Linked DNA regions of Lytechinus pictus. The protein of the gene in region 2 purifies or fractionates together with the protein of the main gene of each other region. This does not show direct contact. Links are inferred from orthologs where the notes say so. Each region holds a gene or a part of one and is shown on either strand. Other genes may lie near its edges. The genes, in order: ribonuclease P protein subunit p30-like and ribonuclease P protein subunit p21-like.

Region 1 (17,192 bases), on a different chromosome or scaffold from region 2:
TAAAAAGAACCATTGTTAAAAATAAATTAATACCACTGGGGCTGAAGGCCACCCAACCCCTTCCATTATTCTGAGCAACCCCACAAAAAAGAAAATTGAGGTTCTCCTTTCTTATTCTACACAAAGGCAAGTTAATTTTGACATTTTAAGATACATAAATAACCTTCTTTTTGATACAATTACAAGTTGAGGAGAAAGAAAGTTTGAATTTTGATGTCAAAATAAAGTTGCAATGAAAAACTAGTCAGACGACATCTTCAGCTGGAAATGGATGGCATTTCGTTTGTGTTTTTTTTTCTTAATTTCTTTAACTTTCTTTCATTGACTCTGTAAATGACTGGGGATGCAGATTCTGGCATGAATTTCTGCACACATTGTTTTGCCAGGCCTGTCTTAATCAAAATGAATAAAATCCCATGTGTGACATATCCACTAAGAAATTGGACTAAACTAAAGAGAAGTTTGCTCCGATTCTATTAGTGTAAAATACATTTGATAGTTGGGATACATGTATCTATCCGTGAAAATATGAGTGTCCGTTTTGATAGGACACACTGTATATTAAAATATACAGTGCGTTTACTGCAATGAATGCAACAATACAGTTTGTCATATCACCAATGCAACTACATACCAGAGGATTAAAAAGTTATGGGATATGCGCTATACAAGAGCTGTTTATTGTTTTATTAAATTGTGGAGTTTAAGTCTGATATATTATTAGATTTCAAGAACAGAACTCACCTTTGATTTGCGATCCAGCTTCTTCTGCCTATGATCAATTGCAACCACTTCATATCCCACTGGAAGGGGGCGGGGGAGGTGATCAAAATGAAAAACAAATTACTCTTAATCAAGTCCATGTCAAGATATTTGTAATATTGGGTGTGAAACTACATTCTTGTAACTAATACATTGTACCCTTTCCAGACTGTTCCCCATTTCCCAGGATCTCCCCTGTAGGGGCATAGTGTAGACACTTGCTGGGACTCTCCACCCAAACAAGTTGGGGTTTTTTATTGGGGAAGTGACCTTAGAAGGGAACTCGACATCTTATACCTGTTCCTAACATACATGTAATTGCTCATGCACAAAATGCGGAAACAAAAAACTTCCATTAAAAAAGTAGGTATTAATTTTATGAAACATGCTATCAATTGGTTAACTTCCTATTCGTCTAATGCCAATTCGTCAATTGCAAACTTGTCTACTATCATTTGGTCTACCATTAGTTCGTCCACTCCCCACATGGTTCGTCTAATGCCATTCCGTCTGTTAGTCTAAATAATCATTATCATTATAATAATTATTTATAATCACGTATTAAATTTTAGTATTATTTTAAATAATAATTTGTATCTATAAATTGTTCTTCAAAATGGCATTTTGTAACATCGCTAATCGAATGTACGTCACCCGATGCGTTTATACCCAGGAGGGCCCAGCATCGTACACATCCAGATCCAGAATGAAGCGGTTCAAGGGTCAGACCTATTGTATTTGCTTTGTTGACAAACGGATCGAGGGATCTACACGAGGTCATTCTGGTAAGTTAAGAATAGCCTGGAGGCTTCTGGGGAGTAAAATTATTTCTACTATACGTAGGCTTACTCCCCATGAAGCCTGGTAGGGCTAAGCATAGGCCCACACACAGGCGAGTATTTGGAGACAACAATGTTGCTCCAAAATGCTTGATTTGTTTAACTTGCTTATCACACAATTTTGTAAATGGAAAAAAAGTTCATTTCCCCACATTAGGCACTTATAACATTATTTTTACACGAAAAATAATACAAATATCAAGAAAAATCATGTTAGAAGATGAGCAGATACTCACCGATGATCTTGTCGCCATATTTCTGTCTTTGTTCGTAGCCTAGTTACAAGACGCGTATAAGAGGGCGATGATATCATGAGCAGTGCCAAAAAAAAAAAAAAAAACTTCAATCGGCTGATGAATATCGTGAATTGTAAAATTTCACGGCCAAATTCATCGGCCAATTGAAGATTTTTTTTTCATTGGCAATGGCACTGCTCATGATATCGTCGCCCTCTCTTATACGCGTCTTGTAACTAGGCTACGAACAAAGACGGAAATATGGCGACAAGATCATCGGTGAGTATCTGCTCATCTTCATACATGATTTTTCTTAATATTTGTATTATTTTTCGTGTAAAAATAATGTTATAAGTGAATCTCGGTACATCTCTCTTCCATCTGATATTCTGCGTGCTGCAATTGATGAACCATCGATTCTAAATAAAACATAAAATGCTGGTTCATACGCAGTTGTCCACTTGGTCTTCTTTGTCTTGCGTAGCAATACGAAGTCACCAACAACAAAGTTGTGTGTCTTGGTGTTTCTGTTCTCTCGTAACCTTTTTCCTCTTTCTTTGTATTCACCATCTTTCTTTTTGATCTTTTCATCCTTCATACTAGCTTCTTCTCTTGGGTTTTTGTGGTCAAGTTTGGATCTAACTGACCTGCCCATCAGTGCTTCATATGGTGGTGTGCTTGTTGCTGGGTGTGGTGTTGATCTATAACCCATCAACATATCTTGTATAGCAATCTCTCGATCCTGCTTCTGGAGATGTGCTATTTGCTGTCTTGTTAAGCACTTTCATTAAGCTTTCGGCTTCGCCGTTTGCTCTTGGGTGGCCTGGTGTGACTCTGTGATGTTCAAAACCTTCTTCCTTTGCGAAATCTTGGAATTCTTTCGAATTGAATGGCAGTCCGTTGTCGCTTTCAACTCTTCTGGGAACTCCATGCGTAGCAAAGATTCTCTTTAGTTTTGTCTTGGTGGCCTGAAATGAGGTTGATCGTGTTGTTTCAACCTCTGGATATCTGGTTCTCTTGTCAATGACAACAAGATTATAATGACCATCTGGATATGGACCTCCAAAATCCATTGAGACTATATCCCATGGCTTCTCTGGGATCGGAGTCGACTTGACAGGTTCTTCCCTGTGATCCTTTGTATTTACTTGACATTCGTAACACTGACTCAAGTGTTCCTCAGTCATTCTGTTTATTTCCGGGAACCAGTACTTGCTTCTCAGTAGTTGCTTGGTTCTTGTTATGCCAAAGTGACCTAGTTTGTGTGCTTTCTTGATCACTTTTTTCTGCAAGGACCTGGGTATCACTATACATTCTAGTCTGAAGATTACATCTTGTGCAATGTATAGTTCATCACGAAGTGGGTAATATGGTTTGATATCTTCATCCTTCCTGAATTCCCACCAATCATTATTCATGATTCTTTCTTTCACTTTCTGCAACTGTTTGTCTTTTCCTGTCTCTTCCTGGATTCTGTCTATGACTATAGCATGTTCACTTTCTATGATCTGCTTGATTACTTTCTCTGTGTCATCTGAATCAGTCTCTGGTAGTGGATGTCTGGACAAGTAATCCAGTGGGTCAACTTCATCTCTTCCTGGCTCATAGATTACTTCATAATCCACATCTTGCATTTCCATCACCCATTTCTCAATTCTAGGTGGCAGTTTTGCTGTGGGTTTGTTGAACATTGGAATCAATGGCTTGTGTGCTGTGACTATCTTGAACTTTGGTGCTCCTAGTAGGTACACTCTGAATCTGTTCTTTGCCCATTTTATAGCCAAAGCATCTTTCTCAGTTTGGCTATATTTCTTCTCTGCTTGTGTCATGCTTCTACTGGCAAAATGTACAGGCTGCAATCCCTTCTCAGTTTGCTGGAATAATCCTGCTGATAAGCCTTCATTGAAACTTGCTTCTGTTCTCAGAATGATTGGCTTATTGGGGTCAAAGTATGTGATAGTATCTTCACTTGTGATACTTTGCTTCAGTTTCTGGAACGCATTTTCCTCTTCGTCTCCCCAAACGAACTTAGTATCTTTCTTGGTCAGTTCACTCAGCAGTGCAGTAAGAGTAGAATATCTGGGTATAAATTTGGATAAATACCCGATCACACCAAGAACACTTCTCACTTCTGCCTTGGACCTTGGTTGTGAGCTTTCCTTGACTGCTCTGACCTTTTCTTCAGTTGGCTTTAGTCCATCTTTGGTGAAGAGGTAGCAATAGAATTCTAGCTGGTCTACTCCAAACTCACACTTGTCAGAATTGAAAGTGATGTTGAAATCTGTAGCTCTCTTCAGGACTTGTTCTAGAGTTGCATCGTGCTCCTCAAGAGTTTTACCTCCTATCAAGATGTCATCTCTTTGATTTAGGCATTATGGGATATCTCCAAAGATGCGAGTGATTGTTTCATCAAACAGGTCTTGTGATGATTTTGCTCCAAAGATCAGTCTTTTAGGCCTCATGTTTCCCCATGGGGTGCTGAAAGTTGCTATGTGTCTGGACTATGGTGCGAGCATCAACTGGTGGTATCCATTCTTCGTCTAACTTGGAAAAGACTTTACACTCATGAAACTTGTGGATGAAGTCCTCTACCACAGGATTTTGGTTTATCCTGCTCCTTTCCATCTCTTTGTTTGGTATTCTTAGATCAATGCTTGTTCTTATCATGTTCTGTGTAAGACTCTCTTTTGGTTTGTCCTTATACCTTGGCTTTGGTTGTATCACCAATGGTGAACACCATGTAACCGGCTCATCTTCTGGTAGTGGCTCAAATATGTCTTCAGCAACACAGTGATCTAACCATTCCTTCAGCAGTTTCTGGAGATAGTATGGAACAGGGCGTGGCTTTTGAGCAACTGGCACTGCTCCTTCTTTCATATGGAAATGTGCATAAATATCCTTGTTGCTTCTTTTGTCATGTATCTTTCCAATGCCCTTGAATGCCTGAGCATTCTTCTTGATTATCTCATCCATAGAATCTGGTGGCTTGCTAACTTTCTTGGCTTGCAGAGTACCATTGGGTCTTATCTCCAACATTCCTAGTTTGGTTGCGGATACTCTTCCTAGTAGTGGTACACTGTCTATCTTCCCTCTTATCACATAAAATTCTTTTTCTATACCTAAGGTTTCATTCTCCACAGTTGTTGTGAATTTTCCTTTGACATCAAGTTCAGTTGTCAATGCACTGAGTTTAACCTCTGTGGGATGTAACTTCAACTCTCTATCGGATCTGTTAGATAATGCTTTAAACTGGTGCTCATCCATAAGGTTGACCTCGGAACCACTATCTACTTCAACCTTGGCATCTAGATTAGCAATTTTTATGCTGACATGCTTGTCCTGGATTCCTATCTTCCAAATTCGAACTGTTTTGGCTTGCTTAGTACTCAAGTGTTGCATAAACTCGTCATCAGAACTTGTATCTCCTTCCTGTTTCTTGGCAGTTTTCTTGACAAAGCTTATGTGTTTTCCTTTCTTTTCTTTACCATCCTTGAAAGAACTTGTTGCCTTCTTTTTGTCATCTGATTTTACCTTGGAGTTGGAACTTGATTTACCCACTGAGGCGAAGTGGTTGTATTTGCGACATTTATTACACTGCCTCCCATAAGCTGGACAATCTTTCCCTGGGGGATGTTTGTCAATCATGCCACAAAATGAACAGGCTCTCTGGTTCTGCTTGTTTGACTTTGGGTACATCTTTCCAACTTTACGTACATCCTGCGTACTCATGTCTGCCACTTGAAGCGAAACATCTTCTTTCTGCGTGGCTTCACTCAATAATTCGTTCAGGTTCCACCCTTTACTGATTGCCTTCTGAATTAGAGATGTGCTCTTAAGGGTTTGAATCAAATGCTCTAGGATCCTCTCCTCCAGTGAACTTCCAAATTCACACTCTACAGCTTTTTCCCGAACACGAGCAACATAGGCAGCAGTGATTTCCCATTCTTGCATTCTTGTTTTCGAGAACAGGTAACGAGCATGATGCTGGTTTTTCTTAGGCTTGTAATACTCATCAAGTTTCCTCCTTAGCTTTTGGTATTCATTCATTGGATTGTTAACATCCGTTTCTATTGGGTCTGGGAGTGATCTTGCTAACCTGGCAATATCCTTTCCCCCATAGATGATTAGTGCATCAGCTTTGTCAACAGGGTTCACTATCCGGAAATACCTGAATAATTTTCTTTCTAAGTCTTCTAACCATTCTTCCCAAGCTTTCCCAATCGAAAGTTGGTTATCCGGGTGGGTAAATGGACCAGTTTTCAGGTTTCTTGTTTCACTAACCACTGTTATGTTTTGATTCTGCCCAGTAGCCATTATTGTACTCTCTCACCATATAGTCACAAAAGAAATCTCCGTAAAAGTTTTACTATTACAGCGAAGTGGGGTCAAAACGAACAGGGAAGTTGCGGCAGGAAGACACAGCTACTCACCATTGGGCAATGCGATGGCTGGGCACACATCCATCAGGTTCCGTGGCGATTCAAAATCTTGGCAGGGTCGCCAATTTAACATCTAATTCTAAAGACTAAATTTCGAATCAGTCCAAATCATTATCATATCAGTCATTCCTCAGACATGCCACTTCATAGTTCACGCGACTGAATAACTCAGTTACTTCTAGGCTTGAAATATAAGTTTCATAACTTTACTTGTGTGTTTGCAATTACGTCACTGTTACACAATCGTGGCTATTAATTATGACTATGTATGCAGTTCTTTGTGATAGTCTTTGCATTCAGACTTTTCATTACTTTCTAGTCAGGGATATCATAAGTAATTCAAGTAGAAATAATTTTACTCCCGAGAAGCCTCCAGGCTAGGCCAGGTAAGAAACCTTAAAATTTTCACTTTTTTATTAACCAATTTTTTTAACCTTCATACGCATTACTAATTAGGCATTGTCATTGATTTAAGGCTCCTTAACCCTGCCACACTCATCTGTACACCCTCGTCATGAAGACAGTGAGATGTGGCCATCAAGGTAACTCAAGGTAACTCAAGTCAAGGTAAGGAATTAAGCTAAACTAAACTTCAAATATCAATAAAATTAATTCGTACAAATTACTTACAAATACAATACTACAAACCGATTTCACCCTGTAACTATCCATCCGGGTGTCAAGGTCTCGCTTCTGCGTCTATGGAAAGAGCGTCAAGGCTCCATGATGAAGAATATATGTCAAAATATTAAAAAACATCATCATGGAGGCCGGCCCAGGTGCACGAGCGCGAGCCGAACGAGATCCGCCGCTGCTTTCGGCGGGAAGTTCCCCGTGCCGAGTCTGACTCTGACTCTGAGACTGAGTTGTGTCCGCGTCCGGCGTTGATGGAAGAATAACCTGCGCGCGACTAAGCCTTAAGGAGAAAATTATGCACAATACTTACATCTTGCTGCTCTAGCGATTGCTCTTTGTTTTCTCTTCTCGTCAAACCGATTATCTATCAAATTTAGGTCAAAAAATTGCGTCATGTTTTCGATTGAATTCGACTTCCATACATGCACACGTGGGTAAATAATGTTTGTTTACGTTACATTGCGTGGATGGCGATCGACCAATCACTTTGCCCGTTACTCCTCGCCGCAATTAATGACAACCCCGTGTTTTGATTGGATAAGGTACTTCGCGAGCGCTCGAACCGGTCAAATTCGAAGAATCGCCAAGACCAAGTACATCATCAGTACAGCCTCAGGTAAGTCCAAGTCATTTAGTAAATTAAATATCATCTTATATGGTAAGCTTGTTCAACTATCTATCTTTTAACATTAAAGTAAGGCCTTGTAATTAAGTCAAATAGTGTGAGGTGAGTGAAGTGTAGTTTCTGGTTGTAGTTGTACCGTTTTTATGTTTGTGGCAGATTCATTTTCGCCTGGGATGCTGTTAAACTTAATGCGATGCCGATGGTGTTGTCGTTCATGTGCTATATGAATACGCGTATCAAGGAACCATGATATCACCAATTCAGTTGTGTGCATAATAATTTACTTACGATTGTATCATAAATGGCCACTCTTCATGCAATGCTTTTGTGCGAGGTTTTTTTTCTTAATGTGATGAATTTGTGTATGATTACATTTCAAAAGTGTGACTATTGATAGACAGGAATAACCGTCGTTTCTGGGGATTTATTCAACAATTTCTGACATTTTACTGTAATCCCCATTTAGATTTTAGTTTTACCGACGGTAGGGTGTACGTGTGGGCTCGCATGTGTTCTCATTCCCTCCCTTTTGTCAATTCACAGTCCAAAGTTTGATGTAATTTTACACATCGAATTTACAATCTAAGGATGTATAAACAACAAACTTTTAAAACTTGATATTTCAATGTTTAAATACTTTAAACGATATAGATGAAAAAGGCATGAAAAATATACTTTACCAATGTTTAATTGGGTTGAACACGATAAAAATGGTCAAAATGGCAGCCAAACTATAAAATATTTACAAACGAACGTCAACAATCACGAATGTGATATCGATATTGCTTTCGATATTATACGATCTGCTCCATATGCGAACGAAACCGAAGATAAACGATACTAGTTATACTAGTACTAGTACTAGTTATAATCGCGATATATCGATTCGAGACATTAATAACGATAATGACGTCATTCAAGATGGCAACTTGCAAGAAAAACCGTCAGGTCAGGTGAAAATGTCTTAGATGACAGATTTCTCAATCATCCAGAGGATTTTTTTCAATAACTCCGGCCCAAGGTATGCAATTACTTAAGTTATTTATATTTCCCTGATAATGGAAACCATGAAACTTTCAATTTTGCTTAAAAAACAGTTTTAAATCGCGATCTATAAAACGCTAGTTCACTATACGTTGGCTGTAGGTACGGGGCCCCGTCCCCTTCAGTCTATGTATGGTGAGTGGAGCCAACGTAGTTCAGCGGAACAACCAAAATACAGAGACTGAAGCTTTTGGTCTAGACTATTGATAGCGCATAGAAAATACAAAAGAAATGGTGAAAATATAGCTGCAGCGGGGTGGAAAATAGAGATTTGTTTGTTTTTTAATAATGTTTTAACAATAACAGACTGAGTTTTGCCTTTTGGTAAAATTTACTAAAAAGTTTGTTTGCCTGGCTTCAGTTCAGTTCAAGTTCTTTCTTGCACTGTTTACATTCCATAAAATGTGTAAATTTCTGTTGTCAGCTTTAATTCTGGGTCAAGCTGGCACGTTTTATGTAGAAAGGTAAAAAAGAATGCACACTGGCTTGGTTAATTGTTAGGCTGTCTGGCCTGCCTGGGATTTAGAATTAGTATTTTTCGGGGCTCAATGAATTTTTTTCTATTCTGCTCATTTCGTGTTCTATGGCTCGCTTGCATTCTTTAGCGGCTAGAAAGAGGGTGAGAGAGAGAATGAACAGGTGAGAGAGATAACTGAGTTGTAAGATACGAGTCGTAGAACGAGAGAATTAAGTATAGAGATTGGATGAGAGAGCTGTAGTAGTGGGAGTGGTTGAAGTGTGAGAGTCGCAGAGGGGGACAAGTTGATCGAGAGAGCAGTTGGGGGAGTGGTGAAGAGAGAGTTACGTAAGAGGGAAGAATAATGGAAAGCCGAAGAACTTGAATTTGGAATCATTAATTAGTTACATTTTATACATTGATATTACAGGCAGATTAATTTGGCGCATTGCACCAAAAGGGATAAGACCGATTTGGGGAAGGGTTTTCTCTCCACGTGGTGTTTGAGCCAAGAAGTATAAAATGGGCGTGTGCTAGGTCGGGCGGGGTAGTTCTTTTCGTTAACGATTTGTTTTGCTGCCGTTAGCCATGTCGGCTTAATTGTACTCAAATTGCGGTCGCCCAGCCCATAGATGGGACGTTATTATACTATATCAGCTTGTTGATTTGACATGGATTTTGAATAAACACATACACAACTTTACTTTATCTCTTTGTTCGAATTTGTCATTTCTCGGCTCCGTCTTTCTTTGAACGTGGGCAGCGCAAGACAGTGGGCGGCCACCGGCCGTCTTGCAAAGCTGTCCCGCTACAAAAATACCGAAAACTAAATTAAAATCCAGTTTGGTTAGCAGTAGAGGTGCATGGCCAATAATTATGCCATATGGGATGGGAAACTGTCTCCCATGAGAGAGATTATCTCCAATATCAGACTTGTAAAGAATTTGGGTATCCAATTTCCGAGACAGTCTCCAGTTGGGAGACCAATTTCCTTTGTTTACATTTGCTGCAAAAGGATTAGCTTAGTGGCACTCAAGGGTTCATTACATGCCGCTGTGCACGGGAAAATCAAGGCACGACTAACCATAGCTAGGAGGCTCCTAGAGTGTAAAAATGATTTACTAACGTATGCTTACTGTCCACGGAGCCAGGGATTGCGTCCCATTAATTTTTTATTGATTTTCATCAAAACTTTACCAGTATTTTTTCTCATTTGTTTTCTGATATTTTACAACAAACTTTCCTTTACTTTCTAAAGGTAAACCTTCTTTAACCCTAACTAGGCCGGGCTTTTTTGGCTGTTCTGTGGCCGGGGGGGGGGGGGGGGGGGGTTGATTCAACCCCCCCCCTGAGATCTCGGCCACCGATCGCGCGAGCGCCGCAAAAATTTGCATGCTGGTAGTGTGCGATGTAATCTACAAGGCTGTATGGTAAAATTTTCCAAAATAATGAGATTTTATTTTATATGAATTAATTATGCTAATTTATGCATAAATCATACTTTTTGCTCTAATTCACTAAATAAAGCTCCTAGAATGCTAATTTTTGGTAAAAATATTCTTTGTAGTATTCTTAACAATGGCAATTGAAAAAAACTTCGGTTTGGAAATCAATTTCTTATGTATTTTATTGTTTTATGAATTTCTTATGTATTTCTTTGTTTTTTGACCTTTTGTTTTTCTTTGTTTTTTTCACCAGATTTATTGCACAACCTTTTTGAAGCATAATTATGCTAAAATCAATTGCTTTCAGCTGTTTAAAGTAAAAATAATCATATCTTTATGAATAAGATGAGAAAACTCAATTTGCATTGACTTTGTACACAAAATCACGTTTTTGAACAATTTTTGGTCTGACATGCACTTACAAAATGTTGCGTAATTTCGGAACCGAATTCCCGGGTGTCATAAATTTGGTCTCAAAAGATGCGCGAGACTTAAAAGTATAAACTCTGCTAGTGGCGCGGTCAAAAAATTTCGCGCGGCGGAATGATCGCAGAAAATGTTGAGGGGGGGGGTTGATTCAACCCCCCCCCCCCCCGGCCATTTTAGGGTTAACAGTTAGAGATTTGGCACTTGTTCAGTTTTGCACCTGTAAAATGTAGTGAACCAGAAAAAATGTTCTTATTTTTTTATCACCAATGTAGATGGAAAACCTCACAACTAAATAATGATGAAACTAGGGTGATATTTTGTTAAAAACAATTTTGAATTAAAAGTGGGTGATAATGCCAACAAGACTCTTATCAATTGTGTCCATGAAACCCAAGTTTGACCAACTTACTTTCTTTCATTTGACATTCAATTTTGATGATGTATTTTTTTGCCCTCCCTCTTAAATTTCTGTGAGTGTGGACTTACCCTTGAATACTTTTTGTTATCTATCATAAAGTGAGTGATATAGACAATACAAAAAGCTTCTTCCCTGATGCGACCGCTGGCCAGGCTGTGGAATGCTTTACCACAGGCCGCTGTCTCCTGTACCTCTCTTCTATGTTTTTTAAAAAAAGAAAGAGAGGTACATGTACTCAAAATCCAAATTATTTAATTTTCACAGATGTCTTGTTTTTACATGTACATGCAGCTGCACATAGTATTGTAGAACCTTTTATTGAGACACTGTACATAAACTACAGATACCTGCACATGAGTATGGAAGTATACCAGACCTGTACTTACAGCAAAGAAGGAGAGTGATGTGCAGGTCAAATTATGTTGAAAATGTCGTATTTTGATTTTGTGCTTCGTTTTTGTCACAATTTATTCTTTCAGAAATCAGAATAGATCTAAGGCTTCAAGGCCTAAATTTATATCATTGCTTTATATTTTATAGTTGAATTCAGTTGAACAAACATAAATGCAATTTGACATACAGGTGTATCCTTTTTTAATTTTCAATTAAAAAATAGTGAAACGGGGAAGGACAGTATCGGCAACATGAGTGATTTCCCAGCCTCCAGTAACTTCTCAGACACTGAGGAGGACGTTGTTGAAGAGGAGGAAGATCTGCTAGCCTTCCAGGAGAGCATAAAAAAGGACCTCTTTACAGAATTCACGTCGGCCACGCCCATGAAGATTGCCAGGGTTAGCGTCGCTCACAATAGGGAACCGATGAAGGTTTATCTAAGAGTGAGGCCTTTCACTAATGCTGAGGTTGAAGGAGGCGAGTCCCAGGTACAGTATGTTTTTAGGCCTCCACCAACTGTAGGTGGTTGCTGGCAACATTCTGTTTTTGGTAGTACATGCATACTGTTTTCCTTCATGCTATAACTAAGAGAACTTGCTCTAATTGGGATATCGCACAGCAATTTAAAAATGAATTAAAAATATTCAATTAGATAAAACCAATCTAGACTTTTCATTTATTTATTCATTCTTTTGGTGTTTTTTTTCTGTTCTGACAAATTAAATATGGTCCTGAGAAAAACATTCAAGAATTGGTTTGTTTGGTTGCACCAACTCCGCTTTACACATGCAGATCCAATACTAGTAGATGAACCAGTTCAACTTTATTAGACTTGGTACATAAATGAATGGATTTCAGAATCTGATTGGGCTCTCAATATATTTGTATTAACAATTAAGAAGGTAATTCTGCCATATACCTCAGACCTGTTATGTAGGGAGCATAAAGTTTTACCACTTTCCCTCTGTCTCCAAGAGACCACCACCCTCTGTTTAAATTACCTTTAAGAATAAGGTTCTAATTTCCCAATTGAATTGTGTATACATAATTATAATAATAATACATATGATTTATATAGCGTCTTTTCCATTTTGATTAAATGCTCCAGGCGTTTAGAAGAGAGCAAAACATAAAAGTAAAGAGAACTAAGAGAAGTACAAGAAAAGGTAAATTACAAATGAGGACAAATGTGTGTCTTCATCTTTTTTCAGGAATGCATGGACCAGGAAAACAACACCACTCTCCTGATGAGGGCTCCCAAGAACAGCTTTGCCTTTAAGAGCAGCCAGCGCGGCTTTGGAGAGATGAACCACAAGTTCACTTTCTCAAAGATCTTCAATGAAGATACCAGTCAGAAGATGTTCTTTGATGAGACCATGCTCGCAACAGTCAAAGACTTCATCGATGGCCACAACTGCCTGCTCTTCACCTATGGGGTAACCAATGCTGGAAAGACATATACCATCCAAGGTTTGGTTACTTTTGAGTTAACTAATCTGGCCCTTGCACAATTTATATGATTGTTATTCTCATTTGAAGAGTCTCTTTGTCATTAATAATTGCATTGCTGAAATAAGTGTATGATTTGCTTTATGAGTTTTGCATAATGTCTGTAAACTCTTGCAAGTTAGCTCACATCAAAGTGAATCGTCAACAACAGAAATTACAAAATTGTTAAGATCTTAGTTATGGAAAGAATTAAACAGGATGAATAAACGGAACAGAAATATATTGGTTGTACATAAAATGTAAGAAACCGGAAAATGAGGAAAGGGACAAAGTTTCAAACAGGGAAAGAGCTGGATTATCTTACATTTCCATTTTACTTCATTATAACCAGGTGTTCCACAAGATGGTGGGATTTTACCCCGCTCCTTGGACGTCATCTTCAACAGCATTGAAGATCGCCAGTACCTATCAAACAGAGTGAAGCCACGCTACTTCTGCGATGTAGTGAAACTCTCTGAAAGGCAGCAGAAGAAGGAGGAAGAAGTGAAATCAAAAGTGCTTGCTTTGGGAAATATTCCTTCTACTGGAGCAGGAGATCAGGTAACAGGATCGTTTTCATCAAGCAAAATGTCAGAGATTTTATCAACAACTGTTAAAAGCTGCTCAAATTCATGCATCTTATTGGCTGAGGGACATTTCTCAGTTTATTTGTTAAAGGTTAATTTGACCACCCCGTCCTACCTCCCTGTCCTTTATTTACTATGTAATCTAGTTAAAAAGCTACTTTATTTTCCATGAAATGAGTAAACATGAAAATTCATTGAACAATTATGAGTTGCATAGGTATCTTTTTTTTTTTGCCAGTCTGATATAAATCTGTAAGCAGGTCTGCTCTAGGTCAAAAGTTGATTGTTTACTATTAAAGATGTGCAAAATTGGTAATAAATAATCTCATTTCAAATGTTTCCATGCCTTGTCCATCCACCCTGTTTTTGTTATTGTACAACAAATCCATCACGATTGTTATTACCTTTGAACAACTCTTTCCTATCTAGACAACAATGTTAGAAGGTGAGAGCATGACTGATGATAGCCTGAACACGGACATATCACATGCATCCTATTCTGCCGGCAATGATGATTCCCAGGACTCCTCAAAGCTCTCAGAGAGTAAGATGTCCACTACCAGAGACATTGAGGGTAAGACTGAAGTACAGTACTAGCCATGAATTAAGATATCAAAGTTCGGCGATAGTCGCGATACCTACGTGAGAAATTTAATTAGATTGCCGGATCAGCAAACGAGAACAGAATTTTTATCCAAGTATTATAGCCAGTAATAATGTTCTATGTAGGTATTGACTGCTTTCAATGTATTCCTTATTCTTATTTGAATCATGTTGTTAAGTACTGCAGGGTGCGCAGCATATTTTAATACTCACGAATGATCATGTTGAAGCTTCAATACTGCACCAATGACAAAACTTTTTATACATGTACAAGAATGTGTGAGTGAATGTTCTTAATGGGGAGGGGAAGGCTTCTAATAAAACAGTTGTGTGGCATACATTATAGAGTTATTTTGGCACCTCTGCTTTGTACTGTACATTGTCTCACCAGATATGCCAGCAACTTGGTTGACACCATCATAACAAAGACTAGTCTGGGTGTTTTGGCTGTTCTCTGACCTTATAACCCCCTTGAGAGCTAGGTCGCCAACATTTTTAAATAAATATATATATTTCTTTGATTTTCAACCTTTTGTTTTTCTTTGGTTTTTTTCTCCAAATTTATTGGAAAAACAGTTGGAACCATAATTATGTTAAGATCAATTCAGCTAGCTGGTGAAAGTGAAAATAAACATGTCTTTATGAATTTGATGAGAAAATTCCACTATTTTGAAGCAATTTGTAGTCAGGCATGCACTTGACAAAATTTTCCCTTATTTTGGAACCACATACCCGGGCATCACTAATTTGGTCTCAAACAATGTGCAAGATGTGAAAGTATAAAGTCAGCCAGCTGCGATGTAAAAAAGAATTCGTGCGGTGGAATGGTCACAGAAAATGTTGAGGTGACAGGTTTTTTCAATGCCCCCCCCCCCCTCAGCTGTTAAAGTCATAAAGTTGTGGTAACTACCTCATTTAAAATAGTCAAATTAGAGCGTAAGAATTGCCTAGTGATCTGTGTTCATTGTGTTTGTCCTTTCTATAAACCTTTTCTCTACAGCAATGGGCAACCAGACATTCTTAGACGAGGTCAACGCACGCATTCCTGATGATACCATGGTCAACGTGGATGCTCAGGGCCCCATCAAGTTCAGCATCTGGGTGTCCTTTGCCGAGATCTACAATGAGTACATGTACGACCTCCTTGAACCCCTACCGAAGGAGAAGAAAATCAGGAGACAGGCGCTCAAGCTTGCCGAAGACAAAAATGGGAGCATCTATATCAAAGGTACGGTTTTCATCCTTCATAGTTACTTGTATGGTATATTGTAACTGCTCAAGTACAACCCATTTCCTCTTCATAATTGGAGCTTTTGTCCCACATACAAATAAATATTTAAAAAAATGCATGTAAATAATTCCTGCACTGATCCCCCCTGTTTGATTGTTATTACCTGTGCCAATATCATAATGGTTATGAGAGTAAATACATACATGCATGTAGATAAATGAAATAGGCAAACTGATCTAAATTCACAAACTCTCCATAAAATGCATAAATACACTGAATTAGATCAACAAAACCAGCAATAGGAAATCTCCATAGATTTTTTGTCTCGCCTGCGAAGCAGAGTGAGACTGTAGGCGCCGCTTTTGCGGCGGCGGCGTCAACACCAAATCTTAGACCATGTTGGGGGAATCAACATCAACATCTTAACCTAAGGTTAAGTGTTTGAAATGTCATCATAACTTAGAAAATATATGGACCTAGTTCATGAAACGTGGACATAAGGTTAATCAGGTATTACTGAACATCCTGCATGAGTTTCACGTCACATGACAAAGGTCATTTAGGGTCAATGAACTTTAGCCATATTGGGGGTATCTGTTGAATTACCATCATAACTTTGAAAGTTTATGGATCTGATTCATGAAACTTGGACATGATAGTAATCAAGAATCACTGAACATCCTGTGCAAGATTCAGGTCACATGATTAAAGGTCAAAGGTCATTTAGGGTCAATGAACTTTGGCCAAGTTGGGGGTATTTGTTGAATTACCGTCATAACTTTGAAAGTTTATTGGTCTAGTTCATAAAACTTGGACATAAGAGTAATCAAGTATCACTGAACATCCTGCGCGAATTTCAGGTCACATGACCAACATCAAAGGTCAATGAACTTTGGCCATAATGGGGGTATCTGTTGAATTACCATCATAACTTCGAAAGTTTATGGATCTGATTCTTGAAACTTGGACATAAGAGTAATCAAGTATCTTTGAATATCCCGTCCGAGTTTCAGGTCACATGACGAAGGTCATTTAAGGTCAATGAACTTTGGCATGTTGGGGGTATTTGTTTAATTACCATCATATCCGTGTAAGTGTATTGGTCTAGTTCATAAAACGTGGACATAAGAGTATAAACCAAGTATCACTGAACATCTTGTGCGAGTTTCAGGTCACATGACCAAGGTCAATGGACTTTGGCCATGTTGGGGGTATTTGTTGAATTACCATCATAACTCTAAGTATATTGGTCTAGTTCATAAAAATTGGACATAAGAGTCATCAAGTATCACTGAACACCTCATGCGAGTTTCAGGTCACATGACAAAAGTCAAGGTCTTTAAGGTCATTGAACTTTGGCCATTTTAGAGGTAATTATTAGATTGCTGTCATAAATTTCAAAGGTCACATGATCAAGGTCAAATATCAATGAACGTAGTATTGAATCATTATATGAATGGTGTTTTTTGTGAATAATTATTTTAAAGTAGTTTTCAAAATCAGCACTGCTGCTATATTGAATCGCGTGATGCAGGTGAGACCGCCAGAGGCATTCCACTT
Region 2 (15,028 bases):
AATGGGCCATTAAAGAAATAAATGTACAGTTCAAAGGACTTCGCAAACATTTGGATGAACTTTTATCTTGTAATCAGGGTAATATATATTTAATAGATGTCTCTCCATTGCTGTTCTATTGAAAAAGAGCAAATACTGACCTTGAACTTTAGAAGTTGTTGAACTCGGTATTCTAAAACTGGGAAAATGTTTGAAAATATACCCAAAGCAGTTACGCCTTCACAATGTACGTATTCAAGCCATCAATGCGAAATGATGTGTTTGCATTTTTATCTTTTACTTTGGGAATATTGAGACAGTCCTATCTTATGATATGCCATTCGCGAATTATTATATAATCATTAAAATATCTTTTGGGGGCAGATTTGCCTGTATGTTTGTGGCATAATAATGTGGGCACGATTATAAAAAAAAGTGCTTCTCTTTTTCCAGATTTATTCTATCGAAATCAGTTTAAGCTTCGCATTTGCGTTTTTGTTTAGTGAGCGACGAATCGTAATAGGTTTAAAAATGGAAATAAATTAAATATGTATACTCAAAAGTTTCAACTCCCATTCTCATTATTTGTGTTTAATGTGATATATTTTTCATGTTAAAATTATAAAAACATTACTGTTAGTTCTTTACTAGTTCAAAGGTCTTTTGATGGGGCAAGGGATGCTGTAACTTTTTATAAGCATATTATCGTCTTCACCAAAAAAATGTTTTTAAAACTGAGTATATGCTAAACTCTTATATATGCCTTGAAAATGCCTTAAAAATGCCTTAGGATTTCGAGGCTTCAAATCCTTGGGGCCATGGCCAAGGCAGACCGAGATATAGACGGAGAGCTGCAGTCTCTTTTCAGTCAGGTTTTCTTTTTTTTTCCACCTGACTAATCCCCCGCGCGCTTACAGCTTGCATACAGACCAGTCTTTCCACTAAGGAAATTACCCAAATTCCGGTTCAGTAATCCGGATCATCATTCAGGTAAGTTTCGGGTAAGTAAAAAATTCTAGGTAATTCCGTGTAATCCGAAAATTACAATTACACAACAATTAAATGGCGAAACTTTTAATATTTATGTTATCAAAGAATTGTTTACCTCGATACGAAGCCCAAAATTTTCCGCTCGCGCTCCGCGCTCGCATTTCGTCGATTTTGTTGAACAATTAATGTTATATCCTTTGATTTTGGTCACTTGGACTGAATATAGGCTGGCTGTATTATTGCCCGATTTTTGTTAAAAATCAAACTTGAAACTACCAAAAAATATTTCTGAATTTTTGGGGAATTTGGGATTCAGTTGTGGGGAAAATGTTTTAGATCTGAGGAGACACTGATGCAGACCATACAGGTGGATTATCCACGTCACCTCAATGACCATTTCAATGCTTTTTAGCCTTTATTCAGATAATATCACATTTTTCATACATATTTCATTTCATTTTCATAAATTAAATTTACAAAATGAAGTGAAGTACATGTATACAGCAATAGAACAAATGAAATATTATACATTGTGATATACATTTTTAACAAAGATTATCATAACCCATAATACTTACAAAAAAAAGTTCATTTCTCTTGTATTTACTGTATAATAATGCGGTATTGTATGATGAAAAAATCCAAACAGAAAGACTTTTCAAGTTCTGAGCAGATAATAAAATTGATACCGTATATAAAATAATTTGTTTATAGAGATGTGAATTATATAGGCTATCCCATAATAAAATATATATATTTATACCTCTATATTTTGCAAGACAATACAAAAAAATAAGTGCCTACGTTGATACTTGGAAAGTGTACAACAATCTGAATAAAGATTTTATACATTAAACATACACAAAAACAGAACAAACATATGATGCAGACCTATGTTGCAGCAAGGCCCTATATATGAAGAGCTCACTTGCATAAGGGGTTAGGTCAATTTTTCATCAAATTTGATTTTTTTTCCTTTTCTTTTCTTTTTTTTTTTTTTTTGTCTCAATGTATATATAGATTTTTAGTAGCTCTATAAGATCATACCAAAGGAAAGTTGAAATTCCCATTAAGAACTGAAATAAAATGGCCAATAAAAATCACCTTTTTTCAAAAGGGGTTAGGTCCATTTTAGTTTGGTTGCAAAAGGGGTTAGGTCCACAGAGATTTTTTTTGGAAAAAAAAATATTTTTAAAAATGTGAAGACAGGTAGATTTCTTTCATACCCAATTTTATGTTCTCATGGTAGGGTATCATGAAATTAAGTTTCGCCGAACAATATTGCAATATGGGAGAATTAAAAAATGATTTTTTAGTTGGAGTGGACCTAACCCCTTTTGCAACCAAACTTTTCTGAAGAGCTCATTTTTCAAAAGGGGTTAGGTCCATTTTTTTTTTAATATAAATTTTATTATTTTCTGTCTCAAAACCTCTAAATTTTAAGTCGATCTGATGATACTAAAGAAAATTTGAAATTTAAATAAAAAACGTGAATAAAAAGTGTCAATGCAAAATCACTTTTAATCAAAAGAGATTGGATTCATTTCAGTTTGCTTGCAAAAGGGGTTAGGTCCACAATTTTTTTTTTTTTTTAATATATAGAAAAAAAATTGGGGACAGGTAGATTTCTTTTATACCAAATTTTATATTCATATGAAAGGGTAGTACATTATGATAATTTAGTTTCTCATAAGAATATTAAAATAAGTGAGAATAAAAAACTTGTTTTTCTCGGAATGATCCAAACCTCTTTTGCAACCAAACTCTTCATATCGTATCTCTGTGTGTGTTGCAGTTACACACGCCCTCTATCGTCATTTTTACAATAATGGCTGAATCTTCAAGCGCTGCTGCTTCCAATTCAGAGGTTTGTTTTTCGTTTTGTCACAATGATAGTGCACTATTTACTATAATCTTTTGCGCATTTATTTATGTAAGATGTATTTCTATATTTCAGGGTAAAAGTATTTCGTATTGTTACTTTGGGAGGTCGGTAACGGTAATGAAGTTAACAAGTTATATTTTATTGTATGTCCCGTATGCTGCAAAATTTGTTGGGTTTTGTACTTTTGTTGCCAACAATGTTGGATTTTGTACTAGTCACTAGTAGTAGTACTCACTGTACGATCCATGATATTTCTATATATATTTCAGGATCAAAGTATTTCATATTGTTACTTTGGGAGGTTGGTAACGGTAATGAAGTTAACAATTATACTTTATCGTATGTCCCGTAGGCTGCAAGGTTTGTTCATTTTGTTGGATTTTGTACGATCCATGCAAATCATGATATTTATAGGCCGATGCAAGTTTTTTTTTATCCAAGTCACTCATTCAATGAACAAGGTTATGATATAACCTTGTTCTCAGTTATATCTCCATGTGTGGCAAAATAAGGGTGGCAATGTTTGGCTTATTTTCTCTTTTTCTTTGGGACAAATGCTTGATTTTTTTACACTGACAGTTTCCATTAGGGCCTACACCTATTCGTCATACAACTTGGTTCTCTTATTAAATTTGATTCTTTAAATTATTTTTTTCTTAATTAAAAATAGAGATTAAAAAAATAAAATTTTCTTGCCATATTACTTTCTACCAATAGAGGGCGTACACAAAAATATGCCCGAAATTCAAGTTTTTGAGCGCTCTAGTGAATACAAAAATTATTCCCCAGTTACTAATGAAAAATAAATTGCAACTGTATGGAAATTAGTAATTTTGGTCTCAAAAGTGATATTTTAATGATTTTTTAAAGTACGCGCGACCCACTAGTTAGGAATCCACTGCCAAACGCGGTTCATGGTGCGAGGTTAGTATAACTTCGCAATACATTTGAGTGAGACTTTCATTGTGTTGACCAAGTGTAAAATGATCAACGATCGTTTTTGATTAAAATGTTGCAACATCCTGAAAGTCTCCTGATGACATTTTTGATAATCCTTTTTAGACTCGGGATAATTGCAGACCACTGACTCGACTGAAATAAATACAAATGTCTCAAATTGAGCTCTAAATTTATATGAATGATGATGTAAATTATTGTTAAATTATTACGATTTAATAAAATTTTAAGGCCATACTAAAAATATTGGTAATGTCAGCAAAGTTATGTTAAGTTGGAATATGGAAGTACTCCGGACGTCTCCGAGATAAAGAAGTACATCGCGCATGCGCGATTGATAACATAATTTTTCATTCATGAATAACTTACTCTGCTATGTCATGTAAAATTGTATTCTATAATGATATTACGATCGTGAGAAGAGTTTCTGCAACGACGATGTTTGAAAATCAATCCTGACATGATATAATTTTATTTAGACAAGTGCACCCATCACTCGTTACGGAATTCGTGATGTCCGTCATTAAAAATGGAAACGTAATACAAATTGAATTGAATTACATCAAACTCTAAATTCATATTAATGATTATCATTCGCAAATTATTGTTAAAATATTAAGATTGAATAATGTTCTATGGTCATGATAAGAAATATTGTTAATGAACGCAAGATTTATTTTACGTTGATCCCGGCGTTGATTTTCCTTTCAGAACAATTTAGATCTGGTTTGATTAAAGCACAATGCGCATGTGCGATCGATGACTATAAATTCCATTCATGAATTCATCGCACAAATTATCTCGGCACGAAAAGACGAGTGAGACTCGAATTAGGATCAAAATAAACTTCAAATTAATGGTGAATAGGCATCATAATTATACATGGTTTCATTTTAGGGAAATAGAAATCGAGTAATAGCTATTAAGGCGCGGCAAAAAGCACATAGCTTGTTTTATCAATCATAACGTCACTGCATCGTATGTAAACTTCGTGAACGCCCACGCCCCAGGTGGGCCCAAGACAGATTTCATTCATAAAAAACTGTGAGTGAAATTCTAGCGCAAATACAGAACCTCAAGGGTGGGTATGAAAGTGGAATTTTAGTTATTAATACTTGTGCAGCGTCTGAGAACTTGGAATCAATGTGAGGCTGTCAGCATGGTAATAGAATTGTGTTCAATTAAGTAATTGTTCACTTGTTTACAACTCCCACGCAAGTTTTATACAGATGTACACGGTGATGGAATTCAGTACACATGCACTGACTTGACCGGGCGTGTACATGTGTACCCAAAACGGGCCTAATATAGAAGGCAGCACACGGCCTTTTGTTGCTGCCCTCTACGTTCGAAGATGTACAGCACGAAATCAAAATGGCAGATAGGCAAAAGATGTTGACTGCTCAGAATGATGTCCAAAAAGCCCCAAATTTATCGATAAAACTTCATCCAACCCTAAAATAATGCAAAAGGTGAGGATGTATTTATGCTAAATATGTTTGTGTAAAGATGTTATGTAACCATTTACATCCGATGAACACGGATTTTAAAGCATTCTTGGTACAGTGGCTGTACCTTGGAGAAAGCTATGGCTGGTCCGAAGTCGTGGTCAATCTTGACCACCGCAATTGCCATCGGCCAGTTTTCATAACAAAGGGAATAACCATCAGTCCTGTTAATATGATATGTATGGATTAAAATAGCTTGTGCAAAATAGTTGCAGGGTGGAAAAAAACCCTTAAGCGGCCGCACACTGGTGCAGATACTCTACATATGTATACCAACTCGAGTAATGCGCCCGTAATTTGATATGACACATGTGCCTCGAATCGATCTCGATTCAACATGTCAAACTTATTTCACATGCAAGCAGTCAATCCCGACAACACACACTAAAGCTGTACCCTTCTGGACAATAGGCTAAGTCAGTGATAACATCTAATTAATGCCATCAACACATGCGGGAAAGGCGCAAAAATTGACCTTCGTTTTTGCTGGACAGTGTAGTTCACCAGTAGAGGCGCTGGTCAGAAGATTGGGATCGTCCAAGTTCACAGGGACTGTCTCAGTTTTCAAAGATTTCTCCAAACATGAAATCTACGATAGTTCATTCACCAGTCAAGTGCCGATACCAATCTTAGACATATCAGGTTTCATAACAAGATTAAATTGGAAGATGGCAAGTCATGAAAAATAGACGCTGAACTGGGGGAATCGAGGTCACTAAATCTGTTTTTAGCACACTATATCCCTGTAATTGCTGTCTATATCCCGCAGGGGTAAGTGAAAAGAAAAAAGCTGTCCCCATAAAGAAGGACAGTCTCTATTTTTCAAGATATTTGTCTTGGTTTATTAGGATGTCCTTGGTTTCTGGGACAATCCCAATTTTTGGACCAGCGCCTCTACTGTTCACCGATGAACTGAAATTACAGAGCTAGATCTACATGTACCAGTATGGGATCTTTCCCTCCACATGCATCACACTGTCATTTATAGAAAACGTTTTTTGTTTGCATTTTGATTATTCTCTCCTGAAACAGGAAACTGAGGATACCCAGGACTTCGATGGGCAGGAAGTTGATCAAGAAATTCCTGCTGAGAGTGCCGATAAGAAAAAAAGGTTCTTCAACAAAGAATGTAAGACTTTTTTCAGGCTTTCCATCCTGTTTTAGTTCGCAAGATAACTGAAGAACCCAATTTAGCAGATAAACTTAAAGCTTAGGTCATGTATCCACCTTTTTTTTCTAATTTACATGTACATCCTCTAGGGCACATGGCTAACTTGCCCCACCTGGATATGCTGGATATTCCATACTTTTAAAACATTATATATAGAAATAGTCTGCTTCAGCATATGGAATATATATATATATATATTTGTCTATTTATGTATATATATCAAATTGGAGAGAACTGAATTTTTCAAGATTGAGATAGTATTTGCCAGTCTCTAGGAGGTATCAAAGTATAAATCATATATCCATATATATTTTTTTATCATATTACAAAAAAGCAATGTTTACATCTCGTTCTTTTTTCTTCTTTAATCTTACTGTGCAGTGAGATGTATGATGTATGGCTTTGGTGATGATCAGAACCCATATGCTGAAACTGTGGATCTACTAGAAGATTTAGTTCTTGGCTTTATTACAGATATAGTAAGTGTGCTATGCATGTTGCTTTTGAAAATAAATAGAAAAGAAAGAAGTGTGGACAGGGGTGTGAGAGTTCAGATTTTTATCTGATTTCCGATTTTTTTTTTTTTTGGTTTTTATTTTCAGCTTAATTTCAGCTTATTTTTGGCTTTCCTCTGTGCAAAAAGTATGGGAGCTCTTTCTTTTTCAGACTTTTTCAACACTCTTCAGCTTTTTTCAGATCTTTTTATTTGTGACCACTCACACCCCTGAGTGTGGATAAAGTGCATATTCCACAAATGTTGAAGGTAGATTTTTACAAGTATATAGGCCTACTAAACGTGATAATGATGGTATTAATAGTCATCGTATTTAAAGGTCAAGTCCACCCCAGAAAAATGTTGATTTGAATACATGTAAGTAGAGAAAAATCAAACAAGCATAACGCTAAAAATTTCATCAAAATCGGATGTAAAAAAAGAAAGTTGTGCATAATTTCACAAAACAGTTATATGCACATCCTGGTCGGTATGCAAATGAGGAGACTGATGACATCATCCACTCACTATTTCTTTTGTATTTTATGATACAAAATATGAAATATTCTAATTTTCTCATTGTCAAGGGAAACAACGACCAATTCCTCCCTGAACTTGTGGAATGAGCATTGTTCAATACTATATGGTTCAGTCAAGTTGGTCCTTATTGTCAAAAACATAAATAATGAAATATTGTATAATTCAAACAATAAAAAACAAAAGAAATAGATGGACATCATCGACTGGCCCATTTGCATGTCACTGAGTTGTGCATATCACTGTTTTGTGAAAAATAAGCGAAACTTCAAAATGTAACTTTTTATTATACATGTACATCTGATTTTGATGAAGTTTTCAGCATTATGTTTGGATTTTTCTCTATTTATTCAAATCAACATTTTTCTGGGGTGGACTTGACCTTTAAATTAGAATGTCTGTAATTTAGATGCAACGGTCTTTGCTTTAATAAGCCAAGAGAGTAATAACTACATGTACTTGAATAAATTTTCAAATTATATTTATAAAGATATGCATTACCCAGGAAAGCTTGCCAACTTTTTTCTTTAGTCTGTAAGAACTATACAGATTTATTTTAGTAACTAGACTATGCTTGTCTTTTCAGAGGTACAATACATGTTTTGCATTATCCGCCCTTAAAATTACTTTAAATTGTTATTGACTTTTGGAAAGTACTGCATGCAGTAGAGTAAATAATAATTCCATGCAGCATCTCATTCTCTTCCTTCATGTTCTTTTCAATCAGACCCTGAAGTCAACCCAGGTAGGCCGACAAGGCAGAGTTCAAGTAGAGGATATCATCTTTCTCATCAGGAAAGACCCTCGCAAGTATTCCAGAATCAAACAGCTTCTACTGATGAATGAAGAACTCAAGAAAGCTAGGAAGGCATTTGACGAAGCCAATTATTAGTGAAAATGTCCTGTTGAACTGTCAATCATAGAAGATGATATGGGTACTAGGACGGAAGTTCCGCTACTTTAGGAAACTGAGCAAAGGACCCATATCTTAGATAATTTTTCTGGTGATTCGACAGCTGTGAATTGTAAGAACTGAAATACAGCGAGATAGTATTACATGTAGGAGTTTGTTTTATTGGTGTGGAAACTATATAAAGGTTACGATACAGTGGCTTGCAGTACATATTTATCGCTGCATTTCTTGATGACATCCTTAGATTCGGAACCTTCGAAGGATCAGCCTTGCCGAGGATGGTGAAAAGATGCAAAGGTGACGCGGGTCACCAGCGAATGAACTACCTGTACCAAGCAGCCCACTGCACCCTGGCACAGAACCCTGGGAACACTCAGCTGGCCAGGTTCTACATCGAGACCATGAAGAATGTAGCAGCAAAGCTCGTGCTAAGACTTGATCCTCATATCAAGCGTACTATATGCAAAAAGTGCAGTTCCCTTTTGATCCCTGGGGTCACTGCTACTGTCAGGGTCAAAGGTCGTAGGCAGAAGCACGTGGTAGTGACATGCTTAGATTGTAAACAAGTCAAGAGGTTCAATACGGATGAAAAGCATGTTCTGTGGGCACATAAAACGGAAGCCATTCAAGACAAGAGCTGATAAATCGGCTTTTAAGTGTAGATTGCCAAAAGAAACTCGTGCTAAGAGGATGCGCGCTACTGCGTACTAATCAATAAGATTGTGCACAACATATCATGTGCACGGCGGCATTTCTGCACGACTCTAATTCACACTTATTTGAAGTTATTTCTTTGTGACCAACATCCCCCCCCCCCCCCTCCCGGTTATGTAAAGAAAGTCGAAAGTCATAGGTAAAAAGCTGTGACTTGGAATATTACTTTGTGTAAGCATGAATTATTTTCATCTGATTTCTTTATAGAATGTAAGTTTTGGTCCCAGTTCATAATTTAATTCATTTAAAGGGGTACTCAAGGTTTAACATCATATGATTTGAACAGATAAAGAAAAATCAGACAAAACACTGATCATTCGATCAGAATCAGACAATGAATAACAAAGTTATGGCATTTTAAAGATTTGCATTATTCTAATGAAACAGTTCTAGGAATGTCTTTATAAATATTCAATGAGCAAACTGATGATGAAATATCTCTCTTGTTCTTTTGTATTTTATTGTTTGAAATTAGGTTTATTCTTTTTTTTCCTCTAAGAATTAAAAAACAGTTAAACTGACAACTGATTCAGTGCATTAGATATTCATTGCTGCAATTTATTTCATTATAAGGGAGACATATCATTCACACATGAATCAAAATATTGAAACAATTGTGATTTCATGTAATAACATAAGAAAAGGGAAAATGGAGATGTCATCAGCCCACCTAATTAATATTCATGACGATCTGTTTTCACAAAATATTGAAAAATTTAAAATTCAATAACTTCATTATTTGATATAACAAAGTTACGATGAAATCTGATAAATCTTCAGCCCAGAGCACCCCTTTAAACTGAGGTTACAAGAGTATCTTGCTATCCTATCCTTGTAGAATTGGGTTCTTAGGATGGTTTATAGAGCTAAAATCAGTTACACATGACATTACACATGTTGGGAACATGGTAATAAACAAGACTCGGTTATTTTGTTTGAAATTATTGACCAGCATCCAGATGCTAAGTTCACTTTTAAACATTTCATTAATATTATCATGAATTGATTCCCTTTTTGAAAAATTCAGCCTCAAGGGAGCCATACATGTACCATAAAACTGTTAGTTACAAATGGGCATTTTCATGGTAACTGACGTTACACGGCACAATTTTACACCTTTCATTGTGAAAAGGTGTGTAAAATTGTGCCGTGTAACGTCAGTTACCGTGAAAATGCCCAAATGCTTTTACGAGTGACTGGTAATCCTTGTGCTCAATGAGTTTTTTCTGTTTTAACCTAATTGGTATAGATCTAACTTTCTATGACCCATCAATCTGATTTCGCACAAGAGAAGGATAGCAGTCATGCATAACTTATGAGAGCTTTATGAGACACACTGAAGTAATGTTCGGAGTATTCATGGTGAGATTTTGATATCCTTGATATTGATTTACACAGAATCACTGCTGGTGGGAGTTTCATAAACCTGTTTGCAGGCTATGACTGACTTTAAGAACGATTGGTGATCCTTCCTTGTGGCAAGCGGTCAACACCAGGGCCCCCGTATTACAAAGAGTTACGATTGATCCAATCAATCGTAACTCTATGGAAATCCATCAGTGTCATAATTTTTCTACAGGACTTTTGCACAATGTCCTTTGAAAAAAAAGAGAAGCATACTGAATTGTCAAGAAAACAGTAAATGTATAAATATACCAATAACTAGAAAATATTTTGAAGAAACATGTATTTTAGATGTTGGCGTTGCTGGCTTTCCATAGTTGTGATTGATTGGATCAATCGTAACTCTTTGTAAGATGGGGCCCAGGGCTCCGTAACACAATGGTTTGTAATCAATCGCTGAATACCAATGACCAATCAAGATCATCGTTGCATGCATACTCTGTTTAACATACTGACCGGGAGCCAATGAGTGCGGTTCTTTCATATTTGCAGTTCATGGCAAACCTTTGTGTTACGGAGCCCTGATCTCCATTGGCGCTGGGTTAGTTCCTAATTTAGGGTCTTTTGTTTTAAATCACTCAAAACTTACGAACAGCTTTATTAAACACCCACCCGCTGTGGTAACAATCATTAATTACAATTTGTATTAAAATGGTCCTGGGCCCCGTCTTACAAAGAGTTACGTTTGATCCAATCAGTCGTGATTCTATGGAAATCCATCAGTGTCATAATTTTTTCTACAGGAAATTTGCATCATGAGCTTTGAAAACAAAGAGAAGCACAGTGAATTTTAAAGAAAACAATGAATGCAAGATTATACATCATAGTTAGAAAATATTTTGAACGAACGTGCGTAATAGATGTTGACGTTGCTGGCCGTCCATAGTTGTGATTGATCGGATCAATTGCAATTCAGGCACCATTGCATCCAATGATTTATCCATGATTGAAGGCCATCAAAGCCATGGCTGTTGATGAAATTTCCACTGTGCTCAGTTCCCCTCCAATTGACCTTTGGAGTTCTGGGGCCCATTTCATATTAAGAGTTACATCTGTTGTAACTTTGCCATTATGGCAACTACCATGGTAACCTTGATTATGATTGGCTGCTGAGTACTGTTACCATGGTAGTTGCCATAATGGCAAAGTTACAATAGTAATAAGATCTTTATGAAACGGGCCTCTGATATGCCCTTTAATTTGAGTTTTCAATTTGTGCTGTATTATAGAAATGACCCGACAGTTGTGCTAAAATCTGATCAAAAATTTAAAGCATGCAGCTACCATGGTTGAAACGAAATGGAGCAGGGTCATTATGCATTAAGAATTTATAGTTATGGTAACTTGGCTATTCGATGTATTATTAACTCCATGTACATGTAACAGGACTCGGCAGCATATCAAACAAGGTTTCCATGCCCCAATAATTAAAAGGCACAGTTTGGTACAGCAAACAATTACAAGACATACAATTAATTTCACGGTATAAAGTTGAATTGTTATTGATGTCCCCAATTAAAATGTGCATGAATACCTTTTAAGCAGTGAAGCCCTAGACTACAAAAGATCTTCCATATTTTTATGTGGTCTCCATTTTCTTGTAGTGCAGGATACTCAGAGTGGCTGTACCTTGAGGATTGTAAATGAAACTGTAAAGTCTTAATTTTCTGATTCATTTTAAATTCTTAATTGTCTGATTTCATTTGAATTTGTGTGTGTAGATGTACAGAAGTGATTATCATTGTACATATTTCCATTAATAAACATCACTACAGCAGACATCCATGAAAATGGTTGATTTTGTCATGTCTATTGAGCAAATGCATGAATGAAAGAGGAAATCAATTCACAAATCTATATATAATTTTAATTTGATTGACAAAACATATATGTAACATACATTTTTCTTGGAGGTTGGAAGATAAATCAATAATTATAATTGAATAAATATAAATGTATAAGAGTTTCACCTCTGATTATGATACAATTGAAAATCCGTTTCAATAATCTAAATCATTCACTTTGGAAGAGATTAGCTACCAAATCCTCTGAAGTTTGGAAGAGAAAATCTGTCTCCTATCTGATTTTAGAAAACAAAAATTACAATTTGTGAAGACTTGTCTTCACGACATTCGTTAACATCCATTTGACCTTTTTTAAATCTTAGCTGTAACTTTGTCAGTGACATGTTGTATAAACGAAGCCCTGTGAACAATTGCACCTGAAAATCAGTATTTAGTCATTCAAAAATTGAAAATTCGCCAAAGGACCAAACATATCATCCCAATTCATTCCATATACTGCATGTGTTTTTACAATTATAACCTCTGGCAGAGAAATTAGACTTTTTCTTCATAGCTGTTTCATCCAATCCATATGATAAGTACATGACATATACAACACATGACAAAGTTCAGGATTTCGTTCACAAGACCTTTGTCATATCCAATGTTTTTAACCCAATCAGTGAATAAAAATCCACAACAGTTGACTGTTCCAAAAGTCAATATGGTTGGATCATAAGGTGTGCAGAAGGCTTCATTTTCTTGAACTGTATTGCTTGACAAAAAATGAAAATCAAGAAAAAATATATTCTGGTACACTTCATGCTCTCAGCAGACTATAAATACTGTACATATGAAATACATTCTTGAAAAAAAAACAATCTAGAAGATCATTAAATAGCACAAATATTTATGGTGGGTTTAAATAGAAAGAAGACGATTTCAATAACCTGTTCGCTACACATCTGTGACTAAGTTTCAAGGGCCTTAACATCCCAACTTTATCATTCCAATCATTGAAGTGGCCATTGACTCTTCTTTGGATACAATTAAAAATCCATAGAAAATCCTTAGTAAAACCATAGTAAAAATTCAATTTTGAATTTTTAAGGTATCTAGCACTCTCTTCTGGAATGTTTTTGTTTTTCTTCAAACATGGCTCATTGAACACTTACTAGACAAATGGTGTCAAAGAGGATATTGCCTGACAAAAATGCATGTATGTTTCAGGATATACCATTACTAAAAAAGTAGCCACGAATCTACTGGCCTGTGGTGACCTGACTAAAACTAGTACAGGCTAACTACCCAGGGGACGTGGAAGCAGGGCACTTTTTTTGCATGGTCAGCCCCCCACTTTGAAAACTATTCCACGGCCCCTGCTACCTATAGGGTTTTCAAAGTTGAATAACATTGACCAAGTCAGTTGAGTTCTGTTATTTATGGTAATTTCTAACTGGGGCTTCAAGTATGCTTAACAAAAGATAAAGTATGAACTGACATGGCAATGCACTTGGCTCATTGCATGATCAAATGAAGAGGTTTTTATCCCTATTTTATAAAGCTGGGGTATTGTTCTGAGGTGGAATTCATCCATGAGACTTGATGTTCCCTGGTCGGCTTTAGTCATCTCATGCTGCACCTTCTGGAATGTTCAGGCATACTCTATTCCTAACAAGATGGCCAAGAATGGACTGTACATGGTGTGAGGTGTGCTGCCATTGGTTCTACAAAAAGCAGTTCAGAATTCATGAACCACAACAAGATGAACTGTTGGAATGATGATAATACAAACAAAAGGCCAAGAATACAGTGTTCTGGAGTCAGTGTGAGGTGTGCTGCTCATTAAAGCTAATACAAGGGACCATGTTTCCTTGATACAGTCAATGCTCTAGTAAACACATGCTGCATTACGTGGAATGCTGTAAGGATACTCCATAATCCCAAAGATGGCTAAGAATACAGTGTTCGGAGTCGGTGGGATGTTGCAACAGAAATACATGGAGAATGCATACTGATGATCGAGTTCTCACTGTTCAATTCATCCTTTCAAAACAAATCCTTAGAGATGGTCAGTACCTCAGCATCTTGGGACAGGTGACAGCATGTCTCCTGGAACACTCAGAATACACCAGGAAATGGTGCTGACCCTACAGTGTTGATGCTCTTCCAGATGGCTCTGCAAAGGGAAAATGAGATCATTTGTTTAAAAACATACTGTAAGATAACATTACAAGTGTATGGTAGTAGTAGTAGTAGTAATCCAATGTCTTGACTCCAGCTTTGTTCCCACGGGCGGAGGTGGCTAAATTTACCTCATGTGGAGTTGCCCTTAGGTAACTTGTCAAAAGTAAAAACTGCATCTTTCAACCAACATCATATGTAAATTTCAACCAACATCATAGACAAAAGAATTGGGAATGCAGGAAAGCCAAGATGAAAAGACGTAAAGTGTCTTTATAGTTGGATTTCAGCCAAAAGATGCAGCACAGACTTTTTACAAGGTACCTTATCCCCTCCCCTATGACTTTGCCCAATACAAAGTATCCTCCATCCTCATTCCAAGCCTATTGCTCTCCTATAATTTCTTTTTAAAATATTGAAATATAGAAAAAGAGAAAATAAGTGTATCGCTAACCAATTTCCACTCAACACCCCCAGAACCAGGAAACCAAATTGCAGGATACTGCTCT

What was found.
Region 1: the proteins of ribonuclease P protein subunit p21-like (region 2) and ribonuclease P protein subunit p30-like purify together in Homo sapiens (co-immunoprecipitation; 3 studies listed by BioGRID and IntAct, counting the BioPlex papers as one, with this or other methods). This does not show direct contact. The link is inferred for Lytechinus pictus from reciprocal best matches to the Homo sapiens genes RPP21 and RPP30.

Annotation. Positions count from the first base shown.
Region 1 is NC_087256.1:15,067,600-15,084,791, forward strand, and holds the start of ribonuclease P protein subunit p30-like, read right to left. Parts: upstream 7,382-17,192; 5' UTR 7,308-7,381; coding exon 7,223-7,307; exon of another isoform or gene 7,138-7,222; intron 804-7,137; coding exon 745-803; intron 1-744. Other genes in the region: kinesin-like protein KIF20B, read left to right, coding at 11,975-12,211, 12,935-13,193, 13,564-13,772, 14,228-14,372, 15,402-15,629. UniProt on the Homo sapiens protein: Component of ribonuclease P, a ribonucleoprotein complex that generates mature tRNA molecules by cleaving their 5'-ends. Also a component of the MRP ribonuclease complex, which cleaves pre-rRNA sequences.
Region 2 is NC_087248.1:14,445,897-14,460,924, forward strand, and holds ribonuclease P protein subunit p21-like, read left to right. Parts: upstream 1-8,711; coding exon 8,712-9,074; downstream 9,075-15,028. Other genes in the region: transcription initiation factor TFIID subunit 13-like, read left to right, coding at 2,798-2,836, 6,352-6,448, 6,872-6,969, 8,248-8,412; uncharacterized protein C6orf118-like, read right to left, coding at 14,457-14,514. UniProt on the Homo sapiens protein: Component of ribonuclease P, a ribonucleoprotein complex that generates mature tRNA molecules by cleaving their 5'-ends.